4 linked regions of the Notamacropus eugenii genome follow. The protein of the gene in region 1 interacts with the protein of each later gene in a biochemical or structural test. Links are inferred from orthologs where the notes say so. Each region holds a gene or a part of one and is shown in the gene's direction. Other genes may lie near its edges.

Region 1 (7,700 bases):
ATCTGAATTAAAGCAAGGATGTCCATTAATAACACTGCTATTTGATAAAGTACATAAAATTCTATTTATTACAATAAAATAAGAATAAGAAATGGAAGGAATAATGATAGACAAAATTATAATTTTTTAAAGATAACATGATGATTTACTTATAAAACCCTAGAGTCAACTAAAGAAATTAATTAATTGAAACATTTAACTTCAGCAAAATCACACATATAAGATAAACCCAAATAAAACATTAGTATTTCTGTATATTACCAACAAAGCCCAGAAATAAGAGAAAGAGAGAGACATTTCATTTACAATAATTTTAGGAGCTATAAAGTACTTGTCAAGACACACATACAGGAGTGATGTGAATGTAACCTGAAACAATTTTTACATAAATACAGATCTAAACAATCAGATAATTATTCATTGCTATGGGTTAGTCAAAGCTAAAACAATAAAAATGACAATAAAACAAGTTAATTTACTTACTTAGTGCCATTGCAATCAAACCACCAGAGGATTACTTTGTAGAGCTAGAAAAAAATATAACAAAATTCATCTGTAGGAACAAAAGAATCCCAACGACACTAATTAGAAAGTATTAGGAAGGAACAGGACCTAGCAATATCACATCTCAAACTATGTTACAAAGCAATTAACATTTTTTTAAATGGTACTAATTAAAAAATAGAGAGATCAATCAGTGGAACAGATTAGGTACACTCTCTCTCTCTCTACATATATATATATATATATATATATATATATACACACACACACACACACACACACACACACACACACACACACACACACAGAAACTTATTGAGTAACCCAAAAATCCCAGACATTGAGAAAGAACTCACAATTCACCAAAAACTGCTTGGAAAACTGACAATCAGTCTAACAGAACCTAAATATAGACCAGCATCTCGTACCTTATACTAAGATAAACTTCAAATGGTTACATTACTTAGATGTAAAGAGTGACATCACAAACAACTTAGAGGAGCAAGGAAGAAATTACTTCTCAGATTTATAGCTATGGGAAGAGTTCATGACCAAATAAGGGATAAAGAGAATCACAGAAGGTGAAATGGATAGTTTTAATTACATAAAATGGCCAATTCAGTTAAAATTAAAACACAATCAGAAAACTGGGAGAAAAAATCTTTGCAGCATATTTCTCTGATTGTCTCATTTCTAAGATATGTAGGGAACTGATATAAATATATAAAAAGGAGCCATTCCTCAATTGATAAATGGTCAAAGGATATGAATAAAAAATTTTCGGAGGAAAAAAAAATCTAAGCTATCAACAACCATAAACAACTGGGGAAATATTCATTGCACTTAGTTAGTCTAGCCAATATAATAAAAATAGAAATTGATTTACTTATTCAGTCCTGTACCCAAACTACCAAAGAAATTTTTTATAGAGCTAGAAAAATGATGAAATTTATCTGCAGGATTCAATGGTCAAGAATCCCAAGAGTAATAATGAAAAAAAATGGAAGAAATGAAAAAAAAAAGTAAATTATTATGACATTAGTAAAAATAGTACTACATGCTGCCCACCAAAAGTTTTCAGGTGGCCTGTGAAAAATGTTGAGTTTGTAAGAGAAAGTAAAGATGCAATGAGTGCTTTGTCCATGCCCACCTACCTCCCCTCCCCCAGTGTAACCCACCTTCCACTAGTTACTGTTGTTCCCATCTTATCTGTTACATGACCCAAGACAACCAACCATTGTCAATCTGTCTCTAGTCTGAGAGGAGAGTCATATCTTTTCACTGTGTTTTTGGTCATTACTGGTGTTGAACAGAGACAAAGTGAGAGTAGCAATGTGCCAATGCAGCTGATGCCCACTATGCAATGAGCAGCAACCACCTAAGGGTTTCTTCTCCTCCCTCGCTGCACAGTCACCCTCCAAGTTACATGAGTGTCCAGTGCTCTCTCCAAGGTCAGACACTCAGTTCAGTATTTCTTTGGATGTGAGCAGTTGCTGTGGAGATTTTTTGTCTCTAACATTAAAGTTTCTGGGGTAACTGTAAAATGGGTGATAAAAAGAAATGGAAGATGGAATCAGAACATAGAGTGTTTAATCTGGAGTGGACAAATAGACACAAGTTTACTTACACGAGAGACAAAATATTGTGCCTTGTTTGCTGAAAATAGCCATTCCAAAGGAATATACTCTTCATCACCATTTAAAATGAAAACCTCCTGACTTATGAAAATTGGACACCAAAGAAAAACAAATGAAGCATTCAAATTGTTGAAAAATCTCAGCGGAGAACAGTGGTTTTTCAAGAAAGTAAACTCAGAAAATGAGGCAGCTACTAAGGTTAGTTTTCAGGTTTCTAAAGAAATTGCTGCTACTGGGAAGTCTTTTATTGAAGGTGATTTCAAAAAGTGTTTGCTAATTACAGTTTCTGGATTATGTCCTGATTGTTTTTAAAAATGTTTTTTGAGAAATAGTTTGATGATTAATTATATACCTTTACTTGGAAAGTGAGCCACTAAAAACCTCTCCGCAGCCCAAAGAAGTTTAACCTATTTTAATTCTGGCCCCTACCTATTGCCAAGTTGCACAGTTCCGGTATAAGATCTCAAATTGTACTATCATTAAAAAACAACTCTGTTGTGGTTATCGTTCAGTGGTATCTGATTCTGCATGACATCATTTAGGGTTTTCTTGGCAAAAATGCTGGAATGGTTTGCCATTTCCTTCTAGACTTAGTAAATGGACAATACAATAATCCACTACAATGGATCCATTCCACTTAGAAAACTGATAGACTGGGAGAGTACAAATTGAAGCATGTTTTTTCCTCCTTTTTAAATTTTCTTTGGGGGGAGATGGGGAATATAGCCAATGCAAAAATGCTTTGCATGATTTCATATGTGCAATGAGTATTGTATTTCTTGCCCTCTCAATGGATGGGTGAAGGGCTGAAGGGAAGGAAAGAATTTGTAACTGAAAATAAAATTCAAAAACAAAAACAACAACACAAAAAAAAAACCTAAAAAAACCAAAATGGATACTTGATTCACATTTTTTAAAAAAGATTACATCATAAATTATAGGAACAAGGAAAAAGTTATCTTTAGGATCTATGAAATGGAAGCTATCATGAAGATAAAATGGGCAATTTTGATTATATAAAGTTTAAAAGCTAGTGCACAAATAAATCTAATGTAATTAAACTTAGAAGGGAAATGAGTAACTGGGCAAAAATTTTTGCATTAAGTTTCTTTAATAAAGATTTCATATTCAAAATTTATAAGAAACTGATTCAAATTTATAAAGACTAAGAGTCCAACTTGTAGATGATAAGAGGATATGTATGAACAGGCAGTTTTCTAAGGAAGAAATCCAAGCTATCAAGAACCCTAAGAAAAAATTCTCTAAATCACTAATAATTAGAGAAGTGCTAATTAAAGCACCTTTGAGGTTCCATCTCACTCACACACAGACTAGCAAAGGTGATAAAAAGGGGGAAAAGCAAACACTGGGGTAAGGGTACAAGTACACCAGTGAACTGCTCCAGCCATTCTGGAAAGCACTTTGGAACCACGTCCAAAAAGGTCCCCTACCCCCACCCCCAAAAGAAAAAAAGTCCCATATGTATAAATCTTTTTCTAGTGGCTCTTTTTGTTTTGCTGGAGACGAGCATTACATTTCAGAATTAAAATTAAAAAAACTTTAAAACTCTGTGTAGGGGCAGAGTCTTCTAATAAAATAAAAAGTGAGGTTGGTTCTCTGGGATGGTAGGCAGCAGAGAATTTTACACGATGTGTAAACACATTTTTTAAAAAAGTAGGATTAGAAAAGTAGTAAAGGGCTAGGTGGTGAGGGGTTTTAAAGTCAGAGGATGTCAGACGTGATCCTGGAGCCCCCGGATTTGTGACTTAAGCTCCTCCCCCCCGTCCTCGTGTCAGTTTCTTCTGAAACTGACCCTCGGGGCTGGGTGCTGCCAGGCGGGGACGCGAAGGGGTCCAGTACCAATGTGAACCCCGTTTCCCTGACTCCCCAGCTGAGATCTTGTCACCATACCAAACGTCATCTGCACGTAAGGTAACAACCAGTTATCCCCAAGTGCCAAGAGCTGCCTCGGAGGCGGCGGCTCCCGGCTCGCCGGAGTTCATCAAAGCCCAGATGATCGTTTTTCCTGGGCAGAAGTTCTAGTTTAGGTCCGGATTTAACTACACGGCCGCCGAGATGGCCTCCAGCTCGGAAATTCCCGGAGGAGCTGGGGATGAATGAGGAGTCCATTCCATGAGGATGGATGACGTACCCGCGGTCAGCCCTTTAAATTTTTTTATAGGAAATAGTTAATTGCGCCCAGCTCTCCCTCCTCCGTTTCCCTTCCCCTCTCTTTCCGGCCGCTCCCCTCCCCCCACTTGGAGGGTTCCTTGGAGGAGCAGCGGCGGCGCCCCCGGTTACACTCGGCCCCGCAGGAGGCGGGCTCTCCTGCGTCTCCTAGCAACGCCTTCCGGAGCCTCGCTGATTTGCCGGCTTCTGCCCTGCCGCCATTTTTCAAACCCCGTAATGTTGGCTATGGTGGCTCCTTCCTGACACAAACCCCTTTCCCTCCGCGGAGGCGTCAGGCCGGGCCCTATTTTCTTCTCCTCGGCCCAGCCCTGGGGAGCCGCGGCGCCGAGATCTTTCCTGTAACCTCCCATCCTTCTTCCACGGCCATGGAGGTGGAGCCGACGGCGGCAGCGGAGAGCCCGGCCCCGGAGCCCGAGCAGCGCCCGCCTCGGAGGCGCGGCAGCCGAGCCGCCGCATCCCGCACGAATAGCGCCGACGAGCCGGAGGCCCGGCTGGACGATCCCGCGTCCGGGCCTGACCCGCGGAGAAGGTGCGTGCGTTGGAGGAGCGTCTGGGGTGGACGGTGGAGGGGGGCCTCGGGCCGAGCGGGGCTGGGGGGAGGCTTGCTTACGTTTAGGCCGGGCCCCTCCCCCTCCTCGCCTGCCTGGGGGGCCTGAGGGTCAGCAGGCACCCACCCACCCCAAAGAGTGGAAGGAGCCCTTGGCAGAGGCACCCTACGTGCCCAGCCGGGCATTGTCCGGACCTGGGTTTGGAGTCTGCCTTAGATCCTTGCTTGGCAAGTCACTTAAGCTTTTCTCAGCCTCAGTTTTCTCATATGTAAAATGAAAGGTTGGACTTGACCTCTGAGGTTCCTTCCATCTCTGATCCAGTGATCTTACGAAATAGAAGATTTGGTGCAGAATAGAACCTTACATGTTTGTATCTGATCCAGTACCCCCTTTTTATATATTACACTTTAACATTCATTTTTTTAAATTTTGGATTCCAAACCCCCACCTTGCTCTTGTCCCTCCCCCAGTCATTGGGAAGGTCAGCAATGTTCACTTATACACAGTGAAATCATGCACAATATATTTACATATTAACCATGTTGCAAAAAAAAGCAAGAGAAATAGAGATGAGAAAAGTATGCTTCACCGTGCACCTCCCTGGAGGTAGAGTTTTTCAGCAGGAGGGAGGCCTTTGGAATTGTCTTGAATCAGTATTTTGATCAGAGGAACCAAGTTCTTTACAGTTGGCGGTTGTTAAAATGTTGCCATGTACAGTGCTTTCCTGGTTCTGCTGACTTCACTTTGCATCAGTTCATAGGAGTCTTCCCAGGTTTTTCTGAACCATCCCCCTCATCATTTCTTATAGCACAGTAGCACTCCAGTCATAATCATATACCACAATTCATTCAGCCATTCCCCAGTTGGTGAACATTCCCTCAGTTTCCAGTTCTTTGCCACCAAAAAAAAAAAGAATTGCTGTAAATATTTTTGTACATATAAACCCTTTCCTCTTTACTTTTCTTGGTCTGTAGACCTAGTAATGGGTTGCTGGGTCAAAGGATATGTATAGTTTGGACATAGTTCCAGGTTGTTCTCCAGAATGGTTATACCACTTCACATTAATCCGCCAACAGTGCCTGTGTCCCTATTTTTCCACATCCCTTCCAGCATTTGTCATTTTCCTCTTCTCCCATGTTAATCACTTTGATAGATGTAAGGTCATACATCAGAGTTGTTTTAATTTGCATTTCTCTAAACCTTAATGACTCAGACCATTTTTATATAACTATTAACAGAGTTGATTTCTTCTGAAAACTACCTGCACATATCCTTTGACTATTTATCAATTGGAAAACTAATTGCTCTTATTAAAAATTTGGCTCAGTTCCCTATTTATTTGAGAAATGAGACATTTATCAGAGAAACTTACTGCAAAAAAAAATTTTCCCCCAGTTTCATGTTTTTCTTCTAATTTTGGCAAAACCTTTTTACCATGATGTACTCATAATTATCCTCTTTATGGCTTGTGATCTTCAAACTGTTCCTTTATCCGTAGATCTGACAGGTAAAATTTTCCATGCTCCACTAATTTACTTGGGATATCATCTTTTATGTTTAAATCATCTACCCATTTTGACCTTTTCTTGGTATACAGTGTGAAAAGTTAGTCTCTGCCTAGTTTCTGCTAAACTGCTTTTCAGTTTTCCCAGCAATTTTTATCAGAGTGAGTTCTTGCCCCCAAAGCTTGGATCTTTGGGTTTATCATGCACTAGATTACTATAGGGGAAGCAACTAGGAAGCAGCTCAGGAAGAACTGAGTTATGTGGCTTCTGATACTCATTAGCTGTGTGACCCTAGGCAAGTCACTTAACCTTTGTTTGACTTAATTCACTGGAAAAGGAAATGGCAAACCTCTTCATTGTCTTTGCCAAGAAAACCACATGGGGGGTCATGAAGAGTAAGGCTTGACTCAACAAGATTACCATAGTTATTTACTACTGTATGTTGTACCCAACCACTTTTTTTCTTAGCTAAGTACCAAATTGTTTTGATAACTACTGCCTTGTAATGTAGTTTGAAATCTGGTACTGTTAGGCCACCTTCCTTAATATTTTTTTCATTGATTCCCTTGATATTTTTAACTTTTGTTCATTCAGTTGAATTTTATTATTGTCTTCTAACTCTATAAAATAATTCTTTGGTAGTTTGGTATGATGCTAAATAATAGGTAAAATTGACACTCATATATATATATATTTTTTTGGCTTGGCCTGCTCATGAGCAATTAAAATTTCCCCATTTTTAATAATTAATTTTTATTTATTTTATTACTTATTTGATATTTGTTAATTTAATATATTAATATATTTATAGCTATATTTTGACCATTTTTAAAGTTTTAATATTTCATAACATGAATTTGATATTTAATATTAATAATAAATTATTTATTTGTTTGTTTTAGTTAGTATTTCTCCATGTTTAGATCTGACTTTGTCTGAAAAATGTTTCATAATCGTGTTCCTATAGTTCCTGTGTTTGTTTTGGCATGTAGAGTCCCACATATTTTATATTGTCTGCAGTTATTTTAAATGAAATTTCTCTTTCTGTGTCTTCCTGCTGGGTTTTATTTTCTTTCTGTCTTTCTTGTCTTTCCCAAAACCTTAAACCCTGTGCACTTTGAAGCTATAGATTGGACAACAGTAGGTCCCTTCCCAAACTCCACTTAATGGCTGTTTACTGGTCTAAAGAGTGATTATCAATGGTAACTGTTGCTCTTTCCCTCCCAGTTTGATTTAGTTATATTTTTTCTTTTGTTCATTGAAAGGGCAATTCCCTGACTACTTCTTATGGAGGCCTATTCACTGAATGGGCGTTA
Region 2 (7,408 bases), about 250 Mb from region 1:
CTGAGTTCAAATTCAGTTTCCTGTACTAGCTATGTGACATTGGGTAAGCAACTTGGCTTCTCTGGACCTCAATTTCCTCATGTATAAAATGGTAGATTTGGGCTTAGTGGCCTTTAAAGTCATCCAGTACTATGCCTGGAACATAACAGGTGCTTAATAAATGCTTATTAAATGCTTAATAAACATACATAGAGACCCATGACCCCATGATTCTACTCAAGATCATAGATCTGAAGCCTGAGAAAACCTCAGAGGCCACCTTATCTACACTTTACAGATAAGGAAACTGAGGCATGGAACTCTGAGGGTTGGTGGGATTATAGATTTAGAGTTGCTCCCTCTTTTATAAAGTGGCTAAGAGACTGGCTCAGAGTCACATGGCTAGTAAGTATTGTGGGACCTGAATCCAAGTCTTCCTGACTTTGCCAACCTCAAAGAGCTGTATACATACCATCTCTTATTCTTTGGACCCAGAGCTGATCCAGACCTGAATCTGCGTCAAAAGTTGTCTACTTTGCAATTCAACTTCCCATCCCACTTTTCAGATGGGAATTAGTCAGAGGAAGTATTCCCATTGAGGAAACATAGAAGGCAAGCCAAGTAAGAGGATGGGAAAGCATTTGGAAACATCCCGAAATGAGTGCCCTAAAATAGGCATCCTTGGCTACTTTTTGTGTGCTTATTTTTTCCCCCACATCCCTGCCTCCCTCCCCTGTCTCTTTATCTGGCTGCTGAAATTCTTGTGTGTTTCCACTTCCTCATTCATCACTGTTTCTTTGCCTAGGATGAAAACTATGCCTGGAACCTCTCTGTTTCTTTTCTCCAGTCTGGTTCAATTTTTCCTGGCTGCAGAGACTAAGGGAAACCAGGAGAGGGCGACAGCATGGTAGAATAGGAAGAAGCCCAGAAGGGACCTTCTTGACTGCAAGACAACCCACCTCCCACAAGCTCAGTCAGGGTGGGGGCCCACCTGAAGCAGTGAGGTCAAGTCAGGTGAATGGTTCCAGAACTAGTTCTAGTGATGGACAAGTGAAACCTGAGGCCCACTCCCCAACTACATGAGGGAAATCCAAAGAATTGGCCAGTTTCTTTTTTCATCAAACCCATCAGGCAAAATGAGGATTTAAGGGCAATGTCTTCCCAGTCTTGATTTTTCATTTTCACTCTGTCTTGTTTTAATGAGGTCCTGCAAGTTGCCTAATAAATATGGAAATATGTGCCAAGATAGTATTAATTTTGTATTCTAAAACCAAGGTGTTGACACAACATTGGAGTACTGGAATTTCACTTTTGAAAAAGGATTCTTTTACTTATTTGTGATTCATAAGCATCATAGGTTTGGAAGTGAAAAGATCTTTGGATGAGTGTTTTTTCAAGTTCCTCATTTTATAGATGAGGTAACTGAGACGCAGAGAGGTGAAATGATTTTTCTGAGGTCAAAGAGATCATGAGTAACAGGGCTAGGATTTAAACCCTGGTCTTCATATATAGTATAAATTCAGCATTCTTTGCACTGGACCAACTCTCATGATCTCCCATGGATTTAATTATCACTTCTATACTGATGATTCTCAGATCTACCTTTCCTTCCTCAATCTCTCTGCTGACCTCCAATCTTGTATCTTCAACTGACCTTTGGACATCTCAAACTGGATATTCAGTAGACAGCTTAAATAAAACATATTCAAAACCTTGCTCATTATCTTTCCTTCTAAATACTCCCTATCTCCTACCTTCCCAATTACCGTGGAGGGCAACACCACCCTCCCATCCCTCAGGCTTTCACCCTAGGAGTCATCCTGGATTCCTCACTGTCTCTTACCCCCATAACTAAGCTAGTGCCAAGATCTATTGATTTTACCACTGCAACATCTCTAGAATATGTCCCTTTGCATCCACCAACACTGGTGCAGGCCCTCATCACCTCACTCCTTGATTATTGCAACAGCCTATAGGCAGGTTTGCTTGCCTCAAGTCTCTCCCCACTCCAATCCATCCTCCATTCAGCCACCAAAGTGATTTTCCTAAAGTGTGGGTTCAACTATGTCCCTCCCTTACTCAATAAACTCCAGTAGCTCCCTATTGTTCTGCTTGACCTTCAAAGCCCTTTATAACCTAGTCCCCTGTGCCTTTTCAGTCTTCTGAAACTTTAGTGCTTTGTAAACCTTAAAACAAGATACCTTACTCCTCACCATGTACTCTTTGATCCACTGACACTAGAATAGGACATTCCATCACTCAGCTCTGAGAATTGTCTCTAGCTGTCTCCTATGCCTGGAATGCTCTCCCTTTCTCAGTTCCCCCTACTGATTTCCCCAGCTTCAATTCCCTATTAAAATCCCATCTGTTACTGGAAAGCTTTTCCAAACCCTCTTAATACTCGTCTTCCCTCTGTTAATTATTTCTAATTAGACTTGTATCTAGCTTGCTTTTCATATATGTGCTTGCACATCGTCTCTCCTATTACATTGTTAAATCCTTTCGGGCAGGGACTGTCTTGCCTGCCATATAGTAGGTGCTTAATAAATGTTGATTGATTGGCCCATAAAGTTAGATGTAAGTCTTGGAGTCTGGAAGACTGGAGGTAGAATTTGACTAGATATTTCCTAGCTGTGTGACCCTGGACAATTCACTTGACTTAAAGTGAATTGACTCAAATTAAATTCACTCAGTTTCCCTATTTGTTAGCAAGGGATAATAGCATCTTGGGTTGTGAAGATCAAATGAGTTAACATACGTAAAGTGCTTTGTAAACCTTAAAACAAGATACACACGCTATCTATTATTTTGGGATCACTCAACATGATCTTTAGGGTTTTTAATGCAAACTTTTCATTTAGAAGATATAGGTATATGTACATATGTGTTTAAAGTTTTAGTAATGCCTTTTGTTTTTCTATCAGTCATTTCCAGATGTTCCTTACTTCTTCAAAACTGAACCTTTCTTGTAACAGAGAAAAAAGAGTAAGTATTCACAACTGATTCCGTGCAAGGGTATATACAACATTCTGTACCATTGAAGCTCTGGGTGACTCTATCAAACATCTTCCCTCTCCAGTAATTTAATATTTCCTCCAATCCCCTCCATATTGCTCAATTTCGGGGTTTCTTGTGAGTCTGAAGCTAGCCACCTCTGGTTCTTTGGGGTTTGTTCCAGGCAGTTCTCGAAACAGAAATCAGTTCTACAACACCCGGGCAAGGACTCTTCAGCAGAGATGAGCAAACGAGCAAAAGACGATGGGGGAGAGAGTGCTAGTGCACTTTGCCAGTAAGAAGGGCACCTCAGAGGCAGGCATGGTTAGAAACAAGTGCAGCGACTAGCCTTTTCCTTGCTTACATTCCATGCTACCCTGCCTCATCTACAAAGTCCTGGGACACTCATCAACAGCCACGAAAACACTGTCTGTGGCGATTGAGTAACTGAAAGGTTCCAAAGGGCAAAGCCTGGGTTACAGGGGACAGAGTGGTCACACAGAGACACTAGAAGAATTGCTACTGAACTCAAGGGTTTAAAAACTCGAATTCCCAACTCCCCCCAAATGCGTTTCTTGATCAGTTTTTTGATGTCTCGCTAGGATCTCGGATCGAAACTTGGAAAGGCTTTAGAGATGATTTAGTCCAACCCTCGCACTTTAGAAATGAAGGAATCACGGTCCAGACAGATGAGTGGTTGGTGCAAGGTCGCGTTGAAAGATTACACAGCCATGTGAGGATTCGTACTCAGATCTTCAGACTCTACGATCCGGGGCTTTCTCCACTGCTCCGGGAGTTCTTTAAGAAGTCGTTTACCAACATGTGACGCTCATATGAAGCCCATATGGGCTCGCCTTTGGTCCCCAAGGAGAACCACACCCCCGGGGGATGGAGAGAGGAGAGCAGAGCCCAGCCACCCAGCCCGGCCAGGGCCCTGGGCCACCCGGGTCCGCCTAGCCCTAGGGCAGGAGATCAAGGCCAGGGTGTGCACAGTACGTCCGGTTCTCGGCCGGTGGGGCAGATCAGCTGGCTCAGCCCTCCCCCGGGCCAGCCCTGCGCAGTCAGTCCCCACGCCTCCCCGGCTGGCCTCGGGGAGTCAGAGTCCAAGCGGGAAAGGGAGGGGCGGGCTGGGCCGGCTCCCTGACTGGCAGCCGGGTTGGCCACTGGCCAAGGGAGGTGAATCGGCTCAGGGTCGGCGTGCCTGCGCGCTGGATCCTGCCTGCCTGTCCAGCGGCGCAAGGGGACCCCAACCCCGGCCGCCGAGCCTGGCCCAGACTAAACCCATTCCAAATCGTACAGGTACAAGAGAAAGAATAAAAAAAGTTGGAAACAGACGTTGAACGGGGAAGAGGGTGGCGGGGGGGGGGGGGGGGGAGGGGAAGGAAAACTACCAGCCTCTCCGAAGTTGCTGGACCGAGGCATTAGAGGGAGGGGGGAAGTTTGCGCCTGGACTTGAGCGGCGTTAGGACCCAGCGGGAAGAACGTTGGAATCTCCTCCGAAGGGGAGGGGGCAGGGAAGGAGCTAGCGGCTCCAGGGCGCAGGCGCGCGCGTTTACTATCGCCGGTCGTGGAGCTCGGTGGGACGGAATAGAATGAAATGTAACAAAACAAGCCGAGCCTTTGTAGCTGTTTAAAGGGGCCGCGGTCCCTTCCCTCCCGCCTCCCGCCTCCTTCCCCTCCGACGTGCCCTCCACCTAGAGCCGGACTCTGGGCTCCGGGGAAGCTGGTCCAGCCAGGCTAGCCCTTTCTGAAGCCCACCTCGGGAGACAGTGCGACCGAGCAGAGCGCCCGTGAGGAAGACCACCGCGCAGAGAGCCAGGAGGGAGAGAGAGGAGGAAGGCACCAGCCCGAAGTGGGCTGCGCTCCCCGGGCGCCCCGGGCCGGCTGGCGCAGCGTGGATCTCCCGGGACTGGAATGCAAACAAAGCTGGCCGCCGGCAGGGGCGGGAGCCCGGAGGCGCTGAGAAAGTTTGCCTAAGGATGGCTTGAGCTGGGGGAGGGCGAGCCCGCAAAGTTTCTTTCGTAGCTTCTGTCTTTGGGGGTGCCCTCTGGGGACATGCCCCTTCCGCGCCCCAGCTGATCTTCGGGGCGGGGGCTGCTGCTGCTGTCGGGGGCCACCTGTTTCGCATTCCTGTGTATCTGCGGGTCCGCTCGCGTGTGCGTGTGCACTCGAGTGTGGGTCGGGGGTCTGGAGGCGCCACGCGCGTGGCCAGCACCATGTCGAAAGTCATCCAGAAGAAGAATCACTGGACCACCAAGGTGCATCAGTGCACCCTGAGCCGGGGACCCCAGGGCGAACTGGGGCTGACCGTCCTGGGGGGAGCCGAGTACGGCGAGTTCCCCTACGTGGGCTCCGTGGAGCCGGACGGGGAGCTGGGGCTTGCCAGCGGCGGCGAGGGCACCAGTCTCAGCGAGGGCGAGCTGCTGCTGGAGGTGCACGGGGTTCGCGTGTCTGGCTTGCCCCGCTACGACGTGTTGGGAGTTATCCAGAGCTGCAAGGAGTCCGTCACCTTCAAGGCCGTCAGACCAGGTGAGAAGGAGGGGCCGCGGCTGATGGTGGTGTTATGAGCACACCCCCCCTTCGCCATCCCCTACCTTGGGGAAGCGGACGTGGGACCGCAAGCCCCTCCCTCCCCTAGGGGTGCCTCACACCTCTGTCTACCCTCTCTGCCCAGGGGGAAGAGAAGTGGAGTCTGACACCCTCCAGTACATCCGAGAAATCTCAAGTTGTCCCCAAGGCCTTAGGGGGGCCGTACTCCGCCTGAAAAAACTTTGCGGGGCTTGGCAGATGAGCTTGACTGGGTGACGGCGTTATTATGCCCAAGGTCCAAGTTAGCAGCAAGGTGCCCCTCAGCCTTGGCGGGGGGAAGCTAGGTAGGGATGCTGAGACTAATGTACGTGATTCCCAGCAAAAAGTAGAATGGAGGGGAGGCGATCTCCCTTTCCTCCCCCACCCCCATATACGTGGTCAGAATTGAAGGTGTGTGGGAGGTACCATATGCCTGTCCATCATCATCTTCACTCCCCTTCCCCTCCTTTCTGTCTCTCTGTGTCTTGACTGCCCAATCTAGAGTCCCAGTATTGGGTGAGGGGTAGTTTAACTTCTCTTTTTATCCAGTCTCTCCCTCCCCATCCCCCTTCGCATCCCATCCCCTCATCACAGGACTGTGACCCATAGTCCTGTTAGACCATTTTTTGTTGGCCCCAAACATCCCTTCACATTACGGATTTCTCCAAAGTGGGATAGGTTTTCAGGTGTTTCCCAATTCTTATCTTCGATTATTTCTCTTTGGCACAAGCATTTTAAGTCAAAGCCCAAGGATCTTGTCTCTAAGCAGAAGTGATGATTGAGAGAGACTTTGTGTGTGTTTTTGGGTAGATCAAGTGAAGGTGGTTTGATGGAGAATGTTAGTGACCCTTTGAAAGGTTGGAAAAGGGGATCATAGCACCTGCTGAAGGAGAAGGAGGAATGCCCTCTGTCTGCCCCTGAGTCAGCTTTTAAAGGAGCCCTGTTCTCCACTCATTAAGGAATGACATTAAATTGCTTAAAAGGGGCCCAGCCTCAGGACTTGGTGTTCAGTTTTTGGAGTTGGGGAAAAGCCATAATCTACAGAAACTCTTGGTCTCAGAGGGGCATGACTGTGTAACTCTGAAAGGCAGCCAGCCACCATACTCCCTTGGGATGAACCGCCCAAGGAGGTTGGATTCTACTGACCGTGATGAAAACTTCCCCCTTGTAGATGACAGCCTGCTTGGAAAGGGAAGGCAGGTTGCAGAGCTGTCTGGAATGTATGCAAGGAAGGAGGAATCTGGGCTGGGATGGGCAATTCCTCTTCTCTTTGAAAGAGGGTTTATCCAGATGAAGGGAGTGGCTGTGGAGGGATCTTTGCTGCCTATTTTCCTCCGATTTTTGAGAGAAAATCCTGCTATGCATAAAGACCACTCCCTTCTCCATCCCCTCCCCCCATCTATGCCTCTGTATGACCCCCTGGAGACTTGATTAAAACAGATTTTCTTACTTTCAGAGACACAACAAGCATTGAATGCCAGGAAACTGTTCCTTACATCAATTATCCACGTTATTAGGGCTAGAGAAAGTTTTGAAGGAAGGGCTTAAATAACTGCGTTTAACTGATACCTGTAGGTCTAAATGACTGGAATCAACTGCTTGAAGGTGATTGGGTTAAAGGGAAAAGTGAACTCCCTCTTTGACCTAGCTGGCTTGGGAACCCCAGCTCCAGATCTCCTCCTCACTTTGTAAGTTGCTGAGTCAGTCTTTGTGGGCTTTCACAGATGCCCTGGAGGCAGAATCCTCCTCAGGGCCTTTCTCCCCATCCTGGAATGTTTCAGGGGGATGGCAATTGGCTGTCACTGGAGATTGCCAAAGGAAAGGTGGATCTAGAGCTATTTCTGAAGTTTGCCTAGGTCACTTCCTA
Region 3 (7,263 bases), on another chromosome or scaffold:
GCACTATCTCATAAGAAGAGCTGGAGAGAGATGTGCACAGTGATGACAAGATAAATGATCATCTAAGTAAGGCTGTCCCTGCCTCTGGAGCTGGGCAGCTCCTTCTCCCATACAGGAGTGCTTTGCCATTTCCTTCTCCAGCTCATTTTATAGATGAGACAAGCAAAAGAGATCAAGGCCACCATTTTACTTTATGTGACACTGTTCTCTCATCTTCCATCACTCCCTCTCCGTGGCTTTCCTTGCCCACTAACAGCACGCTCAACTCTCACACATCCAACAAACAAATTCACTTGCCCTTCCATCCCCTCAAGCTCTCCTCCAATATCTCTCTCCCCTTTCACAGTTGCCCCCTGGGACAGAGTGGTCTATACTCTTTGCCTCCACTTCCTTATTAGCATTCAGACATTTGCAGTGTGACTCCAATGGCCAGGTGGCTGTGCTCTTCTCCTAGACCTGCTTTCTGGCACCTCTCTTTCAGTTCTCAGTGGTCTTTGTTGGGTGATTGATTCCTTCCTTCCCCCTTCGTGTGGATGGTGCCAGGTTTGCCAATCTCATCATTTCCCGTGGGTTTAACTATTTCTTGTCCCAATGCAGATGACTCCCGAATTTCTCGACCCATAGCTAATCTCTCTCCTGACTTGCAGTCCTGAATACACAGTTTCCTGCTGACCATTCCTGGCTCTGTGTCCTCACCCTGAACTGAAGATCCTTCCCGGGGCTTCCCCGTTTCCAGTTGATCAGGCTCAAAGCCTGTAATTCCTTCATCTCAATTATTCCCAACCTCCCAGTTATTTGCCACATCCTCTCAATTCTTCCTTCCCAACATTCCTTCTATTTGGCAGCTTCTTCTGACACCCTCCCCCTGCCGCTACTTCCCTCATTCAGCCTCTGGACTAGGGCAAGATGCTCTGACTTCCAGTCTCATCTCTCTCTAATACATCTTTCCAAAGCTGGCCAGTCTTGCTGAGATGACTTCCCATTGCCTTTAGGATGCATTGGTAGATGGCAGGGTGCCTTGATAGGTGGCCTGGTGTGTTGGTGTGTGACTGGGTACATTGCAAACCGTTCAGCCTGGCCATGAAAGCCCTTCCCATCCTGTGCAGTCACAATTCATGTTGCTCTCTTAGTAAACGCTAGCTTCTGCCTCCACACTTTTGCACAGATCGTGCTTTATGCCTGGAATGCCCTCACTCGCCAGCTCTGCCTCTCAGAATCCTTGGCTTCCTTCAAGGCTTATCATCTGTGCCACGTCTTCCAGTCAGCCCATCCTGCTTCTCTTTAGTTGTCAGTACTCTGTCCTTGAAATCACCCTGGACTGACTTATCAGTGTCCAGGCTGTATCCCCATCTCAGCCTTCTCTGGACTTTACAATGCCATGCCCATAATAGGCACTGGTCTAAAAGGGTTTTTGTAAGGGATCTAGGAGGCTTGAAAGGTAGATATGTGACCAGATTGTTGATGAAGGCAGATGGGGAATCATTGAAAGCTTTGGAGAAAAGGAATGAAATGTAGCAAGATTCATGTGACATCTTGGATTGAAGAGGCAGAGACCAGAGGCTAGAGTCTGAGTAGTAGAACACTGCAGTGCTTCAGTGAGAGGTCATGGGGTTCCAGACTAAGGTGGGAGCAAAAAGGAGAGGACAGAAGAGATATTATGAGGTAAAACTGGATGGGAATTGGTGACCAATTTAATGTTGAGAGGGGCTTGAGGGAATGATTGGTAGTGCTGGGAAGCCATGGGAGGATTCAGGAGGAGGGAGTGGGCTTGGAGGGACAGTTCCTGAGTTCTGCTGTGAAGATGGTGGGTCTGAGGAGAGGTTGCTAGTCACTTGTGCAGGGAGAAGGGATGAGCCTGGAGGCACCATGGAGTCTGTGACCCATGATCCATTTCTGTGGGAACCTTTTCTTTCTCTATCACTCACAGGCTCCTGCAGCATGACAACATTTCTGTGAACCTGTTTGTGGTGAACAAGCCTTGGCTCTTCTCCCTTCTCTGGTGTGCTGGGGCTGCCTCAGTCACCACCAATGCCTGCCAGCTGCTGCAGCAGCTGCCCCATCCTGTCTGGCTCATTGTAAGGACTGTTGGTTTCCCTCCCTCTCTACCTGCCCCCTCCGCTACCATCTGGACCTTCCCTTAACCCCTAACTCTTACTCTCCCACCCCTGCCCCCTCACATAAAGTGAAGTATGTCAGGGGAAGGTTCACTCATAAATGTCTCTACAGCGCCCCCAGACCTACCTACTGATCTGGATTGTGGCAGACTGTGTATCTGCCCTGCTACTCCTCTGGATCTTCCTCCTCCAGGGGTAAGTGCCTTTTCTGCATCCCCTCCCCTCCCTGTGGTGTCATGGCACTAGGTGCCACCAGGGCTTGGAGTCCAATAGGTCCTTGGCCACATTATTGGGTGGCCCCCAAACTGGGAGTGTTTGAGGGAAAGGGGAGCTCAAGCTACCTGGATTGATGGTATGCTCCTTTCCTCCCTAAAGGAAATGTGCCAGGGAGCAAGAGAAACCTGGTAAGAGGTACAGTGCTCCTCATGTTGGGTCTTGGTTCCTTGGCCTCCCTGTTGCCCCTGCCACCACCACTCCCTCCCACATCCACTCTCATGCCTGGTGTGTTCCTCCAGTCTCAGAGAGTGCTGTGCTGCTGACCAAGATCAACCTCAGGCTGGAATGAGTGAGATGCCCCTGTTACCTCCAACCCCACCCCCTTCTGGAACCTCCACTGGCCTCTGACTCCAAGATGCTGCCGCTTCTAGTGGGAAATTGGGTACCACTCTGGCCATTCCTCGATAACTGGAATGTTCCAAGGCTAGCCTGCATCCCGCGCGCTCTTGGGATGGTGAGGACAGCGCACTTTCTGGCTCTTTCTGTCAGTCAATGAATCGAATCCTCCAATCCCCCACATCGGCTCTGCTCGTTTGCCTTCAGGGATATAGGGGGTGGGGACAGGGACCATCACTGCCGCTAGCTGCCCAACAGCACCACCTAGTGCTCACAGCTCCTGAGGACCAGAACCTTGGGGAGCCCTGGCTCCAGAGGCCGCCCCCCACCCTGATTCTGCCGCTCCTGGCCTCTCGCGGATCATATCAGGGGCAGAGCTAAGAAGGACATTAGAGACCCCTGAAACGAACCGAGGTTCAGCGAGAAAGCGACTCCTCGTCAGAGAGAGGCACAGGTTTTGGAGCCAGAGGCCTTGGGTTCAAATCTCAGCGCTGATACTGTGAGACCTTGGCCAAGTCACATAACCCCTTGGAGCCTCAGTTTCCCCATCTGTTACAGAGACCACTTGTCGTCCAAACTCTTCTTTATAGATGGAGAAACTGGGGCTCTGAAGAGGACCAAGAATCCCTTGTTTAAGGTACTCCTTCCCATGTCCTCTGCCTCCAAATACTCCAGAACTTGGCTCCTTCCGACACTGCTCAGCCAAGAAAAGCAGAACAAGTTTTCACTGGGCTGCAGATGGGGAACCAGAGAGCTGAGGAGGAGGCCCTCTCAGGCCCCCTCCAAGCTGGCTGGGTTCATGTTCCTTTACTAAGTCCATAGCTCCTGTCTGGCTTAGCTGGGGGAGGGGGGACAAGCTATTGACTAGGGCACTTGGATTCTGTGGTTGGGAGGTCCTCTGAAGCACTGGTACCCATAGGCCCACATTTTCAATGGAAGGCACCTGCCTGTGGCCACAGCAACAGGATGCAGGGATTACAGCCCAGGCTGCATCTTGACTGGCGGGGGAATGTTTGAATTTGCTCAAGAGACTCCCAGCTCTTTTCCTCCCTTTGTCCCTCCCTCACTTAAAGAAATTAGATATGGAGGGAAGCTCCCCACAGAGGAGTAGCCTGTCCTGTAGCTCTGGATACAGTGATGGGAAGATAAACTGTGTTTGATGGGAGGGACTGGGCAGGTCCCAGGCTGGGGAAGGGCTTGTTCTGTTTTGGTTTTTTAACCCAATCTTTTCCATACATCTGTCTCCATTTTGTCTCCCAGCCCCCCAGTGATAAATCAGAGTTCCTATCACCCAAACAAGCTGCTCTCTCCCCCACTTCGCACCTTAGCTTCTTGCATCCTCATCCTTACAGCTCTAAGGCTTACAGACCTGCAGTCCCCAGTCCTAAGCCCCAGGGAGGGCTGGCTCACTGGGGTTCGAGTTTTCCTGCTCCATTATTTTTAGCTGCTGACTCACAACTCCTGGCATCCGGGGCTGGGGCTAGCGGGCTGGGCTGGGGGCTATTAATAGAGCAGTTGCTGAGCTCCAACCCAGATCAGTTTCAGGGCCACATGAAACTAGGATCTGTCTCCATGTCATGCCCTTTGGAGATACTGTGGACCCAGACAGGGGCTGCAACAGATACTCTACTTCAGAAGCCTGGAAGGGGGAAGCCCTTTCTGGAGCCCTTGGGAGCAGCTCCTCACCTAACACCCAGGCACCTGGCATATGTGGAGTCCAGAGTGAAGGCCCCAGGGCCAGGGCCGGAAACAGTTCAGTTTGGGGGATATCCTCAGCCCAGAACCTTCTGCTCTTAAGAGAAACTTAGGAGGAGTGAGATGGGGAGAAGCTGCCAGCAGAAGGGACCAGAGATCAGGAGGGAGAAGGCTGAAGTCACAGAATCACAGCTGGAAGAGGCCCTAGAAACACTGGAGTTCGGCCTCCTCGACTGATGAAGGGGAGATGACTTGGCCATTGCTAGAAGGCTCTGATGTCTCAGCACCTTCTCAATTCAATTCAACAGACATGGATTATCCGCTGTGCAGTAGAGATAAGGTTGGGAAAAAAAGGCCTTCCCAGGCAGCCACCTTCTACTGTGGAATGCAAAGTGCAAACACAAAACAAGTTAGTGAGATAGAGAGAGAGAGCACTAAGGGATTTAGGAGACACTTTCCATAGAAGGAGGCACCTGAGCTCAATTTTGCAAGAGTTCAGAGATTCTCAGAGGCACAGAGAAGGAGGAAGGGCATTCCAGGTAAGGGGAACAGCCTGGGCAAAGATCCAGAGGCAAGAGATAGTGTGTCATGTGAGCAACAGTGAGAAGGTCAGTTTGGCTGGACCACAGGGTTAAGGGGGGAGGGGGAGGAGAAAGGGCAATAAGGCTCTACCATTAGAAGCCATATTGTAAAAGGCTTTAAATGCCTGCGTGGGGAAGGTGCATTTTCTCCTAGAGGCAATAATGGGGAACCAGTAAAGCTTCCCAGGAGCATGAGCATGGGCAGAACTGGGCTTTAGGAAGATGATTCATGCAGCTGTGCAGCTGTGGAAGGGAAGGACTGAAGGCAGTGAGCCCAACCAGGAAGGAGGCTGCTGCCACAGTCCCAGCCAGAGGTGGAGAAACTGAGATGGCCTTCTAGGTCCTCAGGTGTGGCTTTTTGGCTGCGGGCTACATGGGACCTCAAAGCCAAAGGTTCCCCACCCCTGGTCCAGGCACAAGGTGCGGATGATGGTGGGTGGTAGCCATGAGGGGGGAGGGAGAATGACCAGGGACAGTAAGGAAGCGGGAGGGACCTGGGATGAGCCTGAGGTCCCGGTGCCTCAATTCCATGATGCTACAGCAGGTGCCCCAATAGGTAGGTCTCCAGGCCCTTGTGGCCTGTCAGCAGGGATGCCCAGCAGGCACAGAGCTCCCCTCAGGTTCCCATCAGGACTTCATTCCCATCAACCTCTTTGCCACAGGCCCTTCCCCCCAGAGTGTCCGAATTGTAGTTTAAGGAAAATGGAAAGTAGGCCTCAGCTAAGTTAGGAGCTCTGTATGCAAAGGGCTGGAGCTTCCATTTCCTTTCCAGCATGAGCTGAGCATGAAACTTTAGGCATCAGCCAACAGATGGGGGCACCATTAACACCCACTCACCTCCCCTTCCAGAGGCCTAGGGTTCCAATGTGTCTGGGGAGAGAGGGGGTGGTAAAATCCCACTGAACTTCCCCCCACCCCCTTCAGCTCTGGCTTAGGCCTGGCTGGTTGCCTAGCAACAAACAGACCACCTGCAGGCTTGTGGGGCCTCTTAACCTTGTCAGGAGGTCTGTCTTTCTGCAGTTGGAGGTTGGGACCCTTAATCTGAGTAGAGCATAACTTGCTGGTGTTGAGACAGACCTACAGATTCTTAGGACTCTGCCTGCTTCATTTTACAGAGGGGGAAAGTGAGACCCGGAGCAGGGAAAGGACCTGCAGAAAGTCACCCAGAAAATATCTGGTGTTGGCAGGACTAGAGCTCATTTCCTACCTAATTCCGAGTCCTTCATTGGCCTGGGAGGTGGCCTAGGAGAGCATCCTAATCTCCAGAAGCTCTGGGAGGGGGTTAGCCCCATTGGATGTATCAGGAAGCTAGGAAGGGTTCGAGGTGGAATTCCAACCAGGTCTGTTGGCTTGAAGTCTGGCCTCAGTCATTCCTGATACATCTCATTTATTCCCTTCTCCATAATGTCCAGACTGAGTCCTATAACTGTAACCATAGGGAGGAAGATGACCTCACCTGTTTGTTCCTTACATTCTAAGAGACTCCCCAAGATGCTAACAGCACCCCTTCTCTCCCTCCAGGACTGGGGGGAGGAGGCAGGCAAAGGGGATCTTTGCCCCTGACCAGCTCTGGGATCCAAGCATTTCCTAATGAGTCTTCTGGGGAACCTGGAGCGGTACTTCCCAAATCTGACTGAGTTCCCTGGCTAGCCCCAAGGAAAAGTGAGCAGCCACTCCTAAGAGGTTGTTCCCAGGTCCTAGAGGCATCTGGGGGGCTTTAACCAGACCCCCAAATCTCCCTCTGAACAGTTCTCTCTCCCTTTAGAAACAGAGAAGTGGTTTGAATGTACAGAGGAGATAGCTCTGGGTCAGGCCAACTTTTCTGGGCTAGTCCAGCGTGGAGGACCTCTCTCCTCCCCTGAAACATCTTGGAGCTGGGGGTCAGGGTCATCATAGGAGCTGGCAGATCTAGTTCTGAAAATTCTCACTTGCTGGGGAGTTCAGCTCTTCCTAGAGCCAAACCAAAGCTCTTTCTTTGGTCCCTCCCCCAAGTTTCCAGCCCCAGGCCCATCTCGTTCCCAACTCACTCTCCAGTATACTGCCCATGGCTCACCCTTGTGCCTCAGCTATAGCAGCCCTCCCATGCCCAGCTAGCTTTTTTATTCATGCTTTGCTCCCCCCGCCCCCCACTCAGTTCTCTTCTCTCTGGGATCTTGGGATGGTGGGAGAGCTGGGACTGAGCCACAGCACCCACCAGTGCAGATGTTGCTCTTCTGGGAGCCTTGAGATCTGTCGCCTAGATTTGTCTCCAAGGCTTCTCT
Region 4 (7,872 bases), on another chromosome or scaffold:
TTCTTCCTGGCTTAACCAATGTGGCCACCCATTCTCACCTCCTCCCAGCACAGTCTCTCCTCTCTCTCTTTGTATCTCTCTGTCTCTGTCTCCTTTCTTCCTCTCTATCTCTGGGTCTTTTTCACACCCCACCTATCCCTCTTAAGTATCCCTTGTTTCCTGCTGCCCCCTCCAGATGCTCCCTCTGCCACCATCACTCAGCACCCTGTTCTTTGAGGTCCATTCCATCTCCTTCTAGCCTGTAGTCTAGATCCCAGGAGCTCCAGGCTAGAGGGGCTCTCGATGCCACCTAGCCCACCTGCAGAAAGCAGGATCACAGGTGAGAAGTGAGCAACCTCTGTTGGAGGTGGTCCTCAGATGAGGGAGGAGCCAGCCTGCCTAGCTCCGCCTCTGTTCAGCTTCTGTCCACTCCCTGTGCCCTCTGGGCTCGTGTCTAATGTGGCTGCAGGAGCACCCTTCACACACATAGGCAGGGTCCGGATCCCTCCTAACTCTCTTCAAGACCAACATGCCCCAGTCGCTTTAACCAATTCTCATCTAACATAGACGCAGGGACCTTCTTCTCCCGTTGCCCTCCTCTGGACACTCTCTAGCTTATGGGTGACCTTCCTGAAATGGATAGTCTAAAATTCTTGATGGAATGCCTTGGGGTGGGAACCAGGAAGAGCCAAGTTCAAATCTGGCCTCAGACACTTACTAGCTGGGTGTCCCTGGGTAAGTCACTTCACTCTGTTTGCCTCAGTTTCCTCATCTGTGAAATGAGCTGGAGAAGAAAATGACAAACCACTCTGGTATCTCTGCCAAGAAAATCCCAAATGGGGTGATGAAGAGTTGGACATGCCTGAAATGGCTGAACAAAATTCCTGATGGAGTCTTGGCTGGACAGAAGACAGAGGTACCACCACCTCTTTGTTCCTGGACACTGTGCCTCTCTTCATGCAGCCCAAGATGGCATTTGCTTTCTGGGTTGCCACACCACTCCCTGCTGATCCTTGAGCCTGTGGTTCACTCTAACCCTCAAATCTTTTTCAGATAAATTGCCATCTAGCTCCATTAGTCACACATCTCCTTCATCTTACATTTGTGGAGCTGACTTTTTAAAACTCAAGTCTAAATGTACTTTATCCTTATTCCATTTCATTTAATTAGATTTGGCCCAATATTCAAGCATGGAAAGATCTTTTGAATCCTCATTGTCATCCTGGATTCCCTAATACAAGGAACAAGTATTTTAAAGCTGCCCCAAGTCCTTACTGACGATTGCTGCCACGTATAAGACGGAGTCCTGCTTTGGGGGAATGGGGGAGAATGTTCTGAGCACCATTTCCTGTCCTGTCCTGGGGTGCCTGAGGACATGGGGTTATATAGCCTCCTAAATAAGGGCTTCCTTTGATGAGTGCAGCCTGTCTCCATCAGCAGCCTGACCTGGCTGCATGACTGGCTGGATAAAAGGCATTTCCCCTCTCAGAACCTCAGTTCTGCATCTATAAAATGGGGATAATCATGTTAGCATTGCCTACTTCATAGGGCTGTTGATGAGTGATGATGGGGAAATGATCTAACGATAATCTAGCGGTGTTTTATCAGGTCTAATTGAGGGTTCCCAGTTTTATTCTTCGCTCTGGAGGAAGTGCCTCAGAACAAGCCCAGAAAAACCTGAGAAGAAATTGTTTCTCCTGGAACCCAGGGTCTCCCTCTTGGCTTTCAGGGAAACAGCCCAGGAAAAGCAACATCCTAATCATGCCTGATAAGGCTCCCCTAGTCTCCCACCTGCCAAAGTAATTCCACTAGCTTCAAAAAGAAAAGTATTGATCTCCTGTCTTTATATCATCTTCATCACCAATTTAATTCCCATGTCCCTTATAACAAAGAATGAAAGAAAATCCAACAAAACTAAATAACACACCATCGTGAATGAATGGAAAAACGCATTAGTCCTTGAGGTACAAATATAAGGAGCCGATTTTCTAACAGGAGAAGGCAATCTGTGTGGTGGAGAAGTGGCCAGAGGTGAGGAATTAGAGTAAGATGGTCTGGGTGGCGTCTTGGGCAGTCAGGTGGTGCAGTGGACAGAGCACTGGGCTTAGAATCAGGAAGATTCTCCACAAGTTTAACTCTGGCCTCAGACACTTACTAACTGTGTGACCCTGGGTAAGTCTTGGTTTCCTCATCTGTGAAATGAACTGGAGAAGGAAATGACAAAACATTTCAGTATCTCTGCCAAGAAAACCCTAGAGAGTTAGAAAACACAAAGTCAGACCTGACTGAATGATTAAACAGTAAGTAGAGGGCCAGCCAGTAGACATTCATTTACTCACCAATCAGTGGCTTTGGGCCTTACCAGATCATCTTCCCAGGGTCTAGAAGCCTGTATTGCTAAGGCAGCCCCCTCCTCCCACAGGAAGCAGGGGGAGGAAGATGAATTTTCAATTATGATCCCATGTTGGTGAGTTTCCATCACCGACACTGTCCTTTCTATGTCCACTACTGTAGTCCTGGGTATATCATTTTCCTGGTTCGGTGTTCTTCATTTTGTATCCGTTCTTAGGTTTTTGTGTCCTTCTCTATATTCTTTATATCTGCCATTTCTAATGGGGCAGTAAGTAATATTCTGGTGCATTCACATGCCACCATGCCATGGGGATCGTGAGCTACTCTCTCAGCTTTCAACTCTCACTGCTAAGTCAGGTCCCTAGAACTTAGCTCCTAAGCTCCTACTCGAGTTCCCTGCACCTCCGCCTAGGACTAGCAATTGGTGTCAATGAGTCAATCAGATTAATTAGCCTTTAGATAGGGGTATTTACTAAGGTTGTACCCACCACCCCATTTCACAAGGACACACAGCGTCCTGGGGAAAGCAGGCTCACACTCTGGGTTCCCAGAGGCCCTTTTGCTGGTCTTCACAGTGTTCCCCTTCAGTCTCCTGCAGCTGCCTGATGGGATCCTCACAGAGATTTGAAGTGACTGCCTTTCCTTAATGGGTCTAGTTTGTCCTCAGCTCCCAATGCGGACAGTGATACCCACCATGATTGTCCCAAGGACGCTGCTGGGAGTCCAAAGCCTCGACCTTCCAAGAATGGGGAAGTGGGGGTGGGGTGGGGAGAGGAGTCAGGGAATCCCTCCCTGGAGAGGCTGGACTGCCACCTCTCCTCTGCGGCAGTGCTCCGAGCCTCCTGGTTGTTCTACACAAACCAGGGACACGACTGGCCTTCTTCGCAGTCGCAGCACAACCCCACCTCACCAGTGGGCATCTAGGTAGAGCGCCTCTGACGACCCAGCGACTGATCCAACAGGCCTCCTCCGGACCTGCTCCTGCCCCTGAGGCCTGGCTCTCCGCAGCTGCGAAGCAGGGACACGGAGCCTTGCTCGGACTGTTCCAGCCACAGGATGTGCCTCTCCCTCCCCCAGGTTGGCCGCCACGAGAAGGGCTGCTCCAGGCGTTGGGTGGGCACGGCCGGGCGGCCTGCCTCTGAGGTGTGCCTAGCAGCGCGGCTCCTGGGTCAGGAGGGTGGCGCTTGGTTGTTTTCGGTGCCAGACTCCGAGCTGCTGCCCAGGGGTGGCCCGCCTCACAGCCCACTGGGTCAGGAGGGTGGCGCTTGGTTGTTTTCGGTGCCAGACTCCGAGCTGCTGCCCAGGGGTGGCCCGCCTCACAGCCCACTCACGAGCCGGCACCGAGCGTGTCCATGCTGGGTCGCCTGCCCAGTCTCCTGCATTCCCGGGCCTGCGAACAGCGGTTCTCGGGGCCCTCCGGCCGTTTGTCCTTCCACCTCACACACCTCGCACAGGTGTGTGACGTAGCAGGCCTCCTCTTTCCTTCATTGGCCGCTTCCCTGCCCATCCAAGTCCCGCTGACTTTCTAAGGGAGAGTCTGATCAATTTTTTTCCATGACAAAGTGATCAGAGCCACAGGTTCGGGGAATTGGGCCGGAGCCGCCAAGGCCGACCCTGTCATGGTGTAGATGCGAAAGTGGGGGTCACAAGGACACAGTGACCCCCCGGAGGTGCGGGGCGCAGGGCCGGGCTGGGGCTGCGTCTGCGGGAGGATCGCGACAGGGGCCTGACCCTGCTGGCGGGACCGGACCGGACCGAACCTCACCGGGTTGTCACGGGCAGTAACGGATTTACCTCAGCGCTGCCAGGAGCGCCGGGGGGTCCCGGGGGCACTTTACACGCACACGCGTGCACACACATACACCTGCGCACGTCGGCAGGCGCGTGACCCTGGCTGACTTTTCCGTGCCTCAGTTTCCCCTGCCCCCCGTGGGGTCCGCCAGCTTCGGGCTCCCGTGACGTGGGGGGGCGCGCACGGTCCAAGCACAGCAGGGGGCCCGGGGCGCGGCCAGAGGAGGCGGGGCGGGCGAGAAGCCCCGTCCGTCCGTCCGTCCGTCGTCCGCGGGTCCTTCACAGAGGGGGTTCTCGGGGGCTTTCCCGCAGCCCTTGAAGCCCGGTTCGGGGCGGCCCCGGGCCTCGGTTTCCCCCAGCCCCTCGGCTCCGGCCCGAGACCTGGGCGCTCCTTTGGGGTTTCTCCCCCACCCCCACCTCCACGAGCAGCGGCGGCTCCTCCTCCGGGCCCCGCCCCGGGGCGTGGCCAGCCCACCTGCGGCTCGGCCCCGCCCGTAGACCGGCTCGGTCGGGCTGCCACCTGTGGCTCGCGGGCCCTTTAAGGCGCGTCGGCCCCGCTCCACGGGGGGGAGGGAGTGTCCGCCCCGCCCCTCCACGGGCCCCGCCCCCTAGCGTCTCCGCCCCCAGGGCCCCGCCCCCTGCCCCCTCTCCGGGGCTGCCGAGCGTTCGGGCCGCTCGGGCGCGCGCCGCCGCCCGCTCACTTGCCATTGGCTGGCGGCGCGGGGGAAGGCGGTCACGTGGGGGCGCGGCCGTCCGGCTCGGGGGCCGCCATCTTGGAGGAAAGTTTGAGGGGAGAGCCCGAGGAGGAGGGGGAGGAGGAAGGGGAGGCGGCGGCGGCGGCGAGGGAGAGACGGAGAGAGACGGAGGCAGAGAGAGGGAGCGCGGGCGGGGAGCGCGCGGGGAGCGGGCGGCGATGGCGCTGCGGGCGTGAGGCGGGGCCGACGCGCGCCAGCCATGCCCGTTCGGAAGCGAGGTGAGCGGCCCGGAGGGGAGGGGGAGGGGAGGGGGAGGGGAGGCCGGCGGGCGCGGGAGGGGCGGGGGAGGGGGCCGGGGAGGGGGCGGCCCCGCCGCGCGCTGACGCCTGCCCCCCGCCCTGTCCCCGCAGACACGGAGCGCGCGCTGCGGCTGCTGCAGGAGTACCGCGCGCAGCTGAGCCCCGCACACGACCGGCCGCTGCGGGGCTCCCTCGAGCGCGTCATCGGCATCTTCCAGAGCAGCCTCTTCCACGCGCTCCTCGGTGAGTGGGGGAGGGGCGGGGGAGGGGAGGGGCGGGGGAGGGGGGAGGGGAGGGGAGGGGAGGGGAGGGCCCGCCCCCGCCCCCGCCCCCGCCGCTCGTTACAAAGTTGCCAAGTTCGGAACTTTCCCCTTCCCCGCCCGAGGTAAAGGCGCGGACGCCGTCGGGGCTGGGGGAGAGGGAGCGCCCCGGGGCTGCGGGGGGCCTGGCGGGAGGGGGGGCCCCGTGCACCCCTTTGGGATTAAAGGAGGGTGGTCTCCTGCGGGCTGTACGACGGACACGCCCTTAGCGCGGTGCCTGGCACGCAGGAGGGGTGGCAAAGGCTGGCACCCTCTTGGAGTTGGAGGACGGGGGGGGGGGGGGGCCTTCGGGGCAAGGGGGCAGCGGAGCCCCTCCCCCGGGGGGGTCAGTCTGGGCCGGCCTCCGCCCCGCTCCGCCCGGACCCCGACCCACAGCCTCCGCCCCCCTCGGCCCCCTGCTGCCCGCCCGGGCTCCTCCCCTCCTCGCCTGGTGATGGGCAGAGAGGCGGGAAGCTGCGGCCTTGGCCGAGGGGTGGCACGCACCGTTCGTGCCCGTGCGGGTCCGCGGTCCCCGGTTCGGGTGGGGTCCGAGCGCGTGCGGCCCGGGAGCGGCCCGGGGCAGGCAGGGCCGTGAGGAGCGGTTCGGGGTAAGGAGGCTTCCGAAGCCCGCTGAGCTGGGGCGCCACCGGGAGCCCGGGGCACCTCCTAGCCGGATCGCCCTGTGGACCTCAGCCGCCGCCTTCGGACCGGCTCCGCCCAGCCGTCTCCAGGCTGACCTGCCCAGGCACCCCCCTTCCTTCCCGGAGTGAGGGCTTGCAGCTGCTAGAGGCAGGGGCCCCCCAAGACTACTCAGTTCAGCCGGGGCGGGCCGCCAGGATTGGAACCCAGGACTTTGGCTCCAGGCCACCCCGAGCAGGGCAGAGGAGTGAGGGCACAGCCTGGGATTCGGGTGAGGAGAAGGAGGAGCGTTTCACTTGACAGAGGAACGTACCGGATCCTAGCAGAGCTTTCCGGGGGCGTCCCTTGCTGTTGTGGAGAAGCCAGAAGGGTCCAGACTGGTTAACTGAGACAGTGGGCGGTTCTGTGCCAAGAGGCCTTCACCCTGGTGGACCGTTTTTCTCAGTTCTTTGGATCAAAGGACAGAAGGCAGGCTCTTCGCGTCCAGCCGGGAGGGACAGCGGACACCCTGGACAACCGAGCCCGAAAGGACTTGAGAGGCCCCAGTGTTGGGCCAGGTTCAGTCGATGCACTGCAGTAAAGATCAGTGTGAAGTCTCGGACCTGTCTGTGCCAGTGGACCTCATGCAAAGGCAGCTGTTCTGAACAAGATGGGATGGGCTTTTGTGGCCTGCGGATTCAGGATGAATTAGCAGTGACCTGTCACGTCCAGGAAAGCCGGTGAGATGTCTATGGACATCCAGCTCAAGGTGCCCAGAGGCATCAGGTGGAGCAGAGCTCCGTATCTGAGAATCATCTTCGTAGGAGCCCAGGAGGGCTGAGGAGGGCACCTAGGGAGACGGTACAGAGGGACAAGGGTGGACCGTGCAGGGTGAGGAGGCCGCTGCAGGGACGGGAACATGAAAGGTGCCAGAGAGGAGGGCTGATGGGGGCAGTCTGCTGGAGAAGATGGAGGACTGTGGGCTCCAGATTGAGGGGTTTCCCTCAGCAGGAAAGCCTTCCTTTTCATGGGACACAGGACTAACAGTACTTAGTTGTCAGAGGTGGGGACTGCTAGAATTAGCTATAGAAGTGGATTCCCTATAACTGAGAAAGCAAGCACTCTACCAAGTGCCTAGGACCTGATCAGGGAGAAGCAAACCACAGAAAATTACAGGATAATTGAATTAAACATTTATTAAGCACCTACTGTGTGCTTGCTCTTGGTTAGGTGCTAGGGATACAGTGGCTGCTCCCAAGAAGCTTACCTGCTGGTAGGAGGGAGAATCAAGTTCAGATCCGTCACACCCAGAGTGTATGGTGCCCAAACCTGGGCTGGCCTGCATAGGGCCCCTCCTCTCTTTGCCCTGCTGGTCCCACCTATTGTGGATTCAGGAAACCTCCAGAACCCACGTCTCTCTCCTGTTGGTTTTAAGGCTTCCCCAGAGGTGGGTAATATGAATAACAGGGCCCCCAGCTCTCAAAAACAGTCAAGTTTGGCAACTCCCTTGGACTCCAAGAAGATGTTGTAAACCTCTAAGGGCTTTTTACTGCCCACCTGAAATTGTTTTTGTGGTGGAATTCAGGCGTTTGACATTCCTGATTAGTCGATCTTTATTAATGAGTCCTCTGGGGTCTCCTAAAGCATAAAAAAAGTAGAGTACAGTGCCTGCCAAAGATACCAAAGTCTCCCAGGGCTGTGCCTAGGTGCTGTGGTGAGGCTGTACTGTGGAGGAGCCATCCAAGAGTCTGCACTCAACCCTTCACTGGGTTCCTAAAAAAAAACTTCACTTTTACCCTCTCACCTCCCCCTTTTTCCCCTCCATTGAAAACCTTTTGC

What was found.
Region 2: the proteins of NET1 (region 1) and MAGI1 form a complex in vitro, tested with the Homo sapiens proteins (3 studies listed by BioGRID and IntAct, with this or other methods). The link is inferred for Notamacropus eugenii from reciprocal best matches to the Homo sapiens genes NET1 and MAGI1.
Region 3: the proteins of NET1 (region 1) and DLG3 interact in a test that uses a peptide from one of them, tested with the Homo sapiens proteins (2 studies listed by IntAct, with this or other methods). The link is inferred for Notamacropus eugenii from reciprocal best matches to the Homo sapiens genes NET1 and DLG3.
Region 4: the proteins of NET1 (region 1) and DLG1 form a complex in vitro, tested with the Homo sapiens proteins (3 studies listed by BioGRID and IntAct, with this or other methods). The link is inferred for Notamacropus eugenii from reciprocal best matches to the Homo sapiens genes NET1 and DLG1.

Annotation. Positions count from the first base shown.
Region 1 is NC_092874.1:209,073,490-209,081,189, forward strand, and holds the start of NET1 (neuroepithelial cell-transforming gene 1 protein), read left to right. Parts: upstream 1-4,696; coding exon 4,697-4,860; intron 4,861-7,700. UniProt on the Homo sapiens protein: Acts as a guanine nucleotide exchange factor (GEF) for RhoA GTPase. May be involved in activation of the SAPK/JNK pathway Stimulates genotoxic stress-induced RHOB activity in breast cancer cells leading to their cell death.
Region 2 is NC_092874.1:458,065,248-458,072,655, forward strand, and holds the start of MAGI1 (membrane-associated guanylate kinase, WW and PDZ domain-containing protein 1), read left to right. Parts: upstream 1-4,390; 5' UTR 4,391-5,189; coding exon 5,190-5,502; intron 5,503-7,408. UniProt on the Homo sapiens protein: Plays a role in coupling actin fibers to cell junctions in endothelial cells, via its interaction with AMOTL2 and CDH5. May regulate acid-induced ASIC3 currents by modulating its expression at the cell surface.
Region 3 is NC_092879.1:100,486,435-100,493,697, reverse strand, and holds the start of DLG3 (disks large homolog 3), read left to right. Parts: upstream 1-4,257; 5' UTR 4,258-7,263. Other genes in the region: glycerophosphoinositol inositolphosphodiesterase GDPD2, read left to right, coding at 1,928-2,075, 2,227-2,309, 2,490-2,525, 2,630-2,738. UniProt on the Homo sapiens protein: Required for learning most likely through its role in synaptic plasticity following NMDA receptor signaling.
Region 4 is NC_092877.1:387,070,954-387,078,825, forward strand, and holds the start of DLG1 (disks large homolog 1), read left to right. Parts: upstream 1-4,865; 5' UTR 4,866-5,076; coding exon 5,077-5,095; intron 5,096-5,227; coding exon 5,228-5,359; intron 5,360-7,872. UniProt on the Homo sapiens protein: Essential multidomain scaffolding protein required for normal development. Recruits channels, receptors and signaling molecules to discrete plasma membrane domains in polarized cells.